2 linked regions of the Cricetulus griseus genome follow. The protein of the gene in region 2 interacts with the protein of the main gene of each other region in a pairwise test. Links are inferred from orthologs where the notes say so. Each region holds a gene or a part of one and is shown on either strand. Other genes may lie near its edges. The genes, in order: Cep43 and Cep19.

Region 1 (3,816 bases), on a different chromosome or scaffold from region 2:
CACAGCACCCAGAGAACAGCTCGGTTGCTGTCACCACTTCACCCATGTTCACTGAAACCTTTGTTATACAGCTCTGTCTGGATCACCAGGCCCAGCCACAGCCTCTTCCAGAGGCCTTCCTCAAAAGCCCAGTCCAGGGCCTTCCCCTACCACAGTCTGGACATGAAGACAAAGGATGGTGCAACTTGTTGCCACCGTCCCCTGGCACAGGGCTAACTCTGGATGCATACTAACTCTCCAACACCTGCTGAATGACAGCAGGACGGTTCTTCCATGTAGACCTGGAAAAGGTTTTCAACAACCACACTAAAACTGAAATACAGTTACCTAGCCCAAGTGATCCGATTTTCTCACTGACCAACTTCAGATCCTTTAGGACGGTGCTTCCTCTTTTACCTGCAGACGGGAAAGAGCACTGTGTGAAAGAATTCAGGGCAACATTCTCTAAGCCACACCAAGCATTTACACCCTAAGAGTATGAAAGCCTAGAGGTAAAATTATCAGTAGAGGCTACAATCATGTGTTATGGAGAGAAATCAGATCATACTATTCTTTATTAGAACACAACCACCAAAATAAAAATGCACACAAAACCTAGTACTGTGAACTCCAAGTGGACTACCTGAGGAAGTCCTGCTGATGCTCTGCACACCAGGTTAAATACCAGCTGACTATGACAGGGTGATATCCACATATGCTTTCCCAGGGTGAGGATGGGATGAGATGGGATGGCATAGTGCAGGAAGCTGGCTATCCTTTCACCTTGCTAGCAACCTCTCCTCTGTTCACATAAAAATGTCAGACACAAGTCCCTGATGGCAGAATGACTATGATGATCACTCTATCACAAAACTTCTTTTAAAATTTAAGTTATTTTAAGGGTTTATGAGGCATGACTTACAAGTTACAAATGTTTTCTGTCTTGGAAGGGGACAGCACCTAACACTCATCTTAGGTTGACAATACTCCTATGAAAACTCTACTGGAGATGCCTAACCTACCAGCCCAGCCCAGCCCAGTCCAGCAGTACTCGGTAGAGGCTATTTACCTTCCCCAGTGATCATGTGGCTCATCAACATGTTGATAAAACACAGAGGGATGTGCATACTGCAGCCAGGGAAAACCAAGACTAAATTTGAAGTATTATGTATGACTTCTGTGTAAAATTTAGAAATTGTATATGTATACCTACTGATGGTCTAAAGCATTTAAAAAGTCAGCTTCCGAAAACTATGTTGATAGCATAGCAAAAAAGAATACAAATGGTGGAGAATACTGACTACATTAAGAGTGGCAAAATATTGTCCATCTCATTAAAATGGAGATTTTTCTAAAACAACAACCCCCCCAAACCAAACCAAACAAACAAAACTACAACAATAAAACCCCCAATCTATATTAATTGTTATTACATATGACTGGCTAATTTTTTTTTTTTTGACCTGACACAAATAATCACTTCCTTCCTCAACTTACTTTGGGTCATGGTATTTTATCACAGCAACAAACACCACACTTATCCGAAAAAAACAAACAACAAACAACAACAACTAACCTGGTAGAGTGATATCTTGTTTATATCCTAACAAATAAAGCTTGCCTGAAGATCACGTTGGGCGCCAACATGTAGCATGAGTTCTAATAGGTCTTAATAATAAAAGCCTGGAGTCAGATACAGAGGAAAATGCTGAAAGATCAGACAGACAAGGAGCAAGTCACAGCCACCTTTACCTCGCTAACTTCCCAGCTGAAAAGAGATTGAGCTCCTGTCTCCTCCCACCTCCTCACTTCCTGCCTATCTGTACTGACCTCCAGACCTCTACGGTTATCTAGTGGCTAGCTCTGCCCTCTGATCTTCAGGCAAGCTTTATTTGTTAGAGTATAAACAAGATATCATTACAACCTGGAGTATTCAAGTACTTACTCTCAGTATCTGTTAATGAAGGGGCTCCTGCCAGGGAGCTGAGACCACTCCTGAAGGGGGGTATGTCAGAGAGTGAGGCCAGACTTCCAACGTGCTTCCTAGGTTCATTTCTCCTAACAGGAAGCAATTAATAGTTAAATGATAATTTCAGGCCTTATCACTATAGTCTTTTATTCTGTAAACATAAAAAAGCAATTTAAATATGCATCTAATGGTTGACATGAAGATTTTACAGATTGAAAACCATACAGCACACCTACAGGACAATGCAGACTGCAGACGTGCAGTTACAGATGCATAAGATTGTCAGTGAAGCACCAGCTCCCCTAAATTCCCAACTGTTTACTATCTCTCAGCCAAGTGGACCTTCAACTATCTAGGAGCTCCTTCAGAAGCCCCCTCCATCTTTTGAAACACAAAAGACAGTACAAGAATCAACAAATAAGCATTTCCTCTCAAATGCATACTGTTCAGGAAGCGCAGAGCCCTTCTAACCTTCAGAGGCTGTTTCATCACAACTTCATGCATTCCAGTCAGCTCCGTCCTAACTTCCCAGGCACTGCCATCAGTGTCTACCCTGGCCACCCCCTCCATTCCATTGACAACTCCTCCCTGGAGTCTACCACAGGGCAGCACTCCAGCAATACTGTTACCTTATTCTAAATCCCCAGGTGTTCCCTTATATTAGCAAGCATCCACACATGCACAAACTGAAACTCTGATACAGCTCCTATCACACAGTGAGTACCTGATACAGACTCATCTGGTGAAAATGGCTCATCTGGTGCCTTCAATAATTCTGGCATTATTTTATAACATACTAGGTTTTACTGACACAAAACTAGGTTTATGGATTCAATAATTATATAGTTATTAGCAAATCATTAGTTTTAAAATATAAAATGAAAGCATTTTAGATTTTATTTTTAAATCATAAGTCAGATGATCCAAAGAAGTCTACTCACCAACCATAGGTTTTTTCTGGCTTAGGAATGGGATCATCAAAGAAAGAGTCTCCTTCTGCATCATCTTCCTCCCCACAAAGAACACCTTTGTCTTTTGCATCTAAAGTGCTGCTGCTCAAGAAGGACGCGATTCGTGTCTCCTGGGCCAGGGAGTGAAGGCTGCTCTTGCTCCTTGGCTCTGATAAGGAGATACTACTGGGCTCGCTCTGACTGCTCTCGCTGTTGGTCTTCTAAGAAAGATGGAGGGAGGGAGAGGTCTCCGTGGTGATAAAACTTCTAAGATATCTTAAACAATAGTCAACATAGGTGTGTGTGTGTGTGTGTGTGTGTGTGTGTGTGCGTGCGTGTGTGTGTGTGTGTGTGTGTGTGTGCGTGCGTGTGTGTGTGTGTGCGCGCGTGTGTGTGTGTGTGCGTGTGTGTGTGCGCGTGCGTGCGTGCGCGCGTGTGAACACCTGTGCTTTCAACAGCAGGAACTACAGTGTCGTCCTATGCTTTCCCACTTCATTCCCAGGCTTCCTGACATGGACAGCTTTCCAATGGTAAAATGTTAAAGAAGATGTTTACACTATTTCTTTCCTTCTTTCTAAATGAAAATGTTTTTAGTGTGTATCCCACTTAGAAACTTTCTCATTTATAAATAGCTTTCCTTTTTCATCCTATATGTATGTATGTCACCGCTGCATAAAATATCTTAATACATTTTCAACTTGAAACCAGGAGAGAGCATTAAAGTTAAGAAGACTGTCACAAAATAAACTAAATTGCACTATTCATGAGAAGGGAGAGTAGTTTTCTACACAGCACCAATGAAAGCCTCAAGGTAAAAGCCATGACCTTTGAATGCTCACATTTCCAAAAAGCAGATCTGGCTATCACAATTACCTTAATTCAGGCTTGCTGGGCTATTTACTAATCCTGTACTTCATG
Region 2 (4,386 bases):
GGGGTCATGTTCCAACCACATCAAACAGCAGAGCTTGGCAGTTTCAGCCATGTGGTTCTGGCTTTAGAGTCAAGGATAGAAGAAAGGAAATCCCCTCCCACCCACAATGGCTAAGGAAAGCCATTGAGGCCAGGCATTTGTCAAGCATGTCCCTGCATGGAGGGCCTACAGAAGCCATTGTATGAAGCTGTGAAAGTGAAGCCTTGTGTTGGAGAACCCCAAGATGTTGGAGATGCCAGAGTCATGAGATACCTGCCAAGGAAAGCTGCTAACAGGGAGTGGAACCAACCCAAGAGAAAGACGTGTGCTGCAGTCGACAAAGCTGGGAGGAATTGGAGATCTGAAGAGAGTTTTGACATCAGACATGGAGATGCAAGAGTTTGGAGTTTGCCCAGCTAATTTTTGGTCTTGCTTTGATCTAATATTTCCTTGCTATGTTCCCTTCCCTGTATTTTGGAATTGTAATGTATATCCTGTATCATTCTATGTTGGAAGTATGTGATTTGTTTTTTTATTTTGATTTCATAGGGGATTAAAGTTAAGAGAGTGAATGAATCTCAGAAGAGACTTTGAACTTTGGCCTTTGAAACATTTTTGAGACTGTAATAATCTAAGAGGACTGTTGAAGTTAAACTAAATGAATTTTCATTATGTTATGGCTCCAAGCCTGTGTGGGTCAGGGAGTAGAATGTGGTGGTTTGAATAGGTATGACCCCCCATAGACTCATGTGTTTGAATGCTTGGCCCAGAGGGAGTGGCACTTTTAGGAGGTGTGGCCTTGATGGAGTGGCTGTGGCATTGTTGGAGGAAGTGTCACAGATCTCTTCCTGCTGCCTGCAGAGATGCAGAACTCTCAGTTACCTCTCCATCACTGGCACACTGCCATGTCCAGCCCTGATGATAATAGGCAGGACCTCTGAACTGTAAGCCAGCCCCAATTAAATGTTTTCTTTATAAGAGTTGTTGTGGCCATGGTGTCTCTTCACAGCAATAGAAACCCCAACTAAGGCAGTAACTAAAGCTGAGGCAGCAGAAGCTATGAGGCCTAGTTGCTGAAGAGTTTCAGGGGGCTTTCAGGCCTTGAGACTTAGGGTTCTCATGGCCTAGGCCCAACAGCAATAATAATACTAGCTATTGTAGGAATGAAGAATCTCAAGGCCCTTAGGAGTTGTAAGTTAGTTCTGTTGAAGAATAACTATAGGCACATTAAGAAATTGATAGTAGCCCCCCCCACCAAAACAAACAAACAAACAAACAAAAACAACAGCCAGGCATTGGTGGCACATACCTTTAATCCCACACTCTGGAGACAGAGGCAGGCGGATCTCTGTGGGTTCAAGGTTAGCCTGGGCTACAGATCAAGTTCCAGGACAGGCTCCAAAGCTACACAGAGAAACCCTGTCTCGAAACAAATAAACAAACAAACAAAAAAAAACAAAAAAAGAAGGAAAAGAAAATTGATAGTATTTATATCTGTTCATTATTAAAAAAATAGGGACAAAAGAAAGAGGAAGAAAACATAAAATATTCACCTAATTTCCATTCCTTTTTTTCTAGCTATAAGTATATATACATTTACTACAGTATATTTAAATGTCATATGAGTTCCTGAATTAAAATGCAAATTTTATGGTTGCCAAGTAGATTTGTTATATAGGACCATAATCTGTATTCTCACCCCTACTGTTAGATGTGAGAATTTTTACTTTTTTTTTGAGAATTTTTACTCTTAAGAGGTTAGTCATAATATAGAATTGTTTTTCATATTGCTATGCTCTGCCTTTGATCTGAGTCAATGACCAGATACTACTCCCAGTTCACCTCACTAAAGTATGATGCTAGTATGCTTTCTAAGAAATACGACTAAACACCCTATATGGTCTACAAACACAAACAAGAGGCCACACTTGTGAATAGAATTGACAATGTAGGGTTTTGACTATAGAGTCTTCATTTTTAAATTCTAGAGTTTTCCTTTTTAAATTTTTTGTTGTTGTTGGTTTTTGTTTTGTTTTTTCAAGACGAGGTTTCTTAGTGTAACTGACCTGGAACTCACTTTGTAGACCAGCCTCGAACTCAGATACCCACCTGCCTCTGCCTCCTGAGTGCTGAGATTAAAGGCAGCCAGCTTTTTTTGGAGGGCTTGGGAGGCTATCTCTCTCTCTTCCTTTTTTCTTTCTTTCTTTTTTTTTTTTTAAAGCTTTTTCTGTGTGACAGCCCTAGCTGTCCTGGAACTCGCTCTGTAGACCAGGCTGTCCTTGAACTCACAGAGAGCCACCTGCCTCTGCCTCCCAAGTGCTGGAATTAAAGGAGTGAGCCACTACATGTGGCTGTCCGCATTTCTTAACAGAGTGCTTGCAGTGTTTGTTGTATTATACCCTCTTCCCACCTGGAGACCTCATAGCCTGGCCAGCACCAGCACTCTCCACAACTGCTAACATATTCCAAAGAGTTGGGAGGAGTGACAGCACGTTTACCTAACTGTTCTTGGACGATATACTTTTCTTCCCAGGGATCAATGACTGTGTTCCCTACAACACCTAAGGGGGTACGGCTTTCCCACCTTATAGACCCGACCTTTCTCTACTGATGTCCTCACTAGGGCAAGGCGACCCTTCTTACCCTTGAAGAAGTACAGGAAGTGCACATCTGAACAGCAGCGAGAGGGCTGTTTCCATCCAACCGCATTGCACAGAGGATCACTTATATCATCTTTGAGGCGGAGTGGAGCCTGACGCTGCAGGAAGAGGCGACACCCATTTCCTACAGGGGTAACCATGGGGTGAGTTCAGAGGCAGGTGGCCCCAGCCCGCACGCGTCCGGCTGAGGACGGGAAGCTGGCCTGAGCGCGGCGTGTGCGGTCCTAAGTCTGAGCTTGGTCCAGAGGCCCGCCGGGCGCCCGCCTAGGCTGGTTTCCAAGGCAACAGCGCGAGCGCGCGGACTGCGCTTGCGCAGATTTTCGCCCCGCCCCAGCTGGGATGGCCAGGGGCGGCGCCAAATGCGGGCCTCCCGGGGACCTGCAGTTCGTGGGACTGAGCTACCCAGTGCGAGTGCTCAGTGGGTCCAGGGCCGTTTGCGCGCGGAGCGCTCCGTCCCAGTCACCCGGCCGGTGGGAGTGCGCGCTGCGACGTGAGCAGCCTCCTTCCGCGACCGCAGCTCGTCCCGCGCGCCCATTTCGGGCGTCGGCGCTCCGGCGTCCTGGCTGCGGGCGCTGTGGCCTGGCTGCTCCTCTGGGCGGCTGGGCTGGTCGTCAGGCTCGCCGCGGACTTGAGCGACGCCCCCTTCGGCTCTGGTAAAGGGCGGGGGGGGGGGGGGGAGGCTGAAGGAGCGCGCGCGGATCTGGGGCAGGGGTGGGGAGCGCCCGCGGCCCTTCAGCTCCGCGGTTTGCCGAGGTGTTAGACATACCAGGGGCGGGAGGAGGTTAGCCACAAAGGCCGCGTGCGTCCCTGACCTCCCTGTGATCTTTGCTTGGTGTTCCATCCCGGACATCGGAGCCATGCTTTGTCCCTCTGAGGCGGGGCAGGCCACAAAAGTACTAAACAGGTACAGCCACGGAGCATCTTGGGATGCTTGTGGTACCCCCGAAGCTGCTTTCTGCTGCCGGGAGAGGCCAGGGAACCCTTCGCGTCCCCGAAGGTGTGAACATGGCCAGTTTGTAGAGAAGGGATGAGGTGGTGAGTTGGTGTGTTTCGTGACAGACTTCCCAGGGAGATGCCGCTCTCCCTCCCTCCCTCCCTCCCTCTCTCGCTCCTCCAGAAAGGTAACCTTTGTACTAGTAGCCAATTTGATGAACCAATGAATTTTTTTTATTGGGGTTACTGGTAGGAATGTGGGTGAAGGGTTACTTGCAAGGAGCAGGGATAACTCAAAAGAATCTGCATCACTAAAAAATCCACCCCAACATGGTTGACCCCGCCCCTGAAACTGCAACCCTGGAGCTCCATAGCCCCAATATCTGTTTTTTTTTTTTACCCCCATCTCTTTCTCTCTGCAGTTTGTCCCCAGCAACTGTTGACTCCCTTTTATACTGTTGATAAGGACCCTCGAGAATCTTACAAGTTTTTATTCTCCTGGCTACACATGCTTTTTTTTTTTTTCTTCAAGTTACTGAGTAACAGGTTTATGTAGTGCTTCACTCTGGTTTAATGTTCTTCTCGAACATTTCTAGCCAAAGTTTTATAGCAAGGTGTCTAGCAACTGAATAGTGAGGTTTTTTTTTTTTGTTTTTTTGTTTTGTTTTGTTTTTTTGAGACAGAGTCTGTGTCACCCTGACTGTCTTGAAACTTAGTATGTCGTATTCTGGGACCAAAGGTGTGTGCCACCTCACCAGTCTTGAATTTTTAGTCATTGGGTAATAGTTTTAGTGTCCAAAATTTGCATGGCATC

Evidence for each region.
Region 1: the proteins of Cep19 (region 2) and Cep43 interact in binary tests that used the Homo sapiens proteins (3 or more experiments, as listed by UniProt). The two-hybrid records come from large-scale screens. The link is inferred for Cricetulus griseus from reciprocal best matches to the Homo sapiens genes CEP19 and CEP43.

Annotation. Positions count from the first base shown.
Region 1 is NC_048595.1:292,382,363-292,386,178, forward strand, and holds part of Cep43 (centrosomal protein 43), read right to left. Parts: intron 3,120-3,816; coding exon 2,890-3,119; intron 2,038-2,889; coding exon 1,925-2,037; intron 397-1,924; coding exon 328-396; intron 1-327. UniProt on the Homo sapiens protein: Required for anchoring microtubules to the centrosomes. Required for ciliation.
Region 2 is NC_048597.1:57,396,845-57,401,230, forward strand, and holds the start of Cep19 (centrosomal protein of 19 kDa), read right to left. Parts: upstream 2,946-4,386; 5' UTR 2,623-2,945; intron 1-2,622. UniProt on the Homo sapiens protein: Required for ciliation. Recruits the RABL2B GTPase to the ciliary base to initiate ciliation.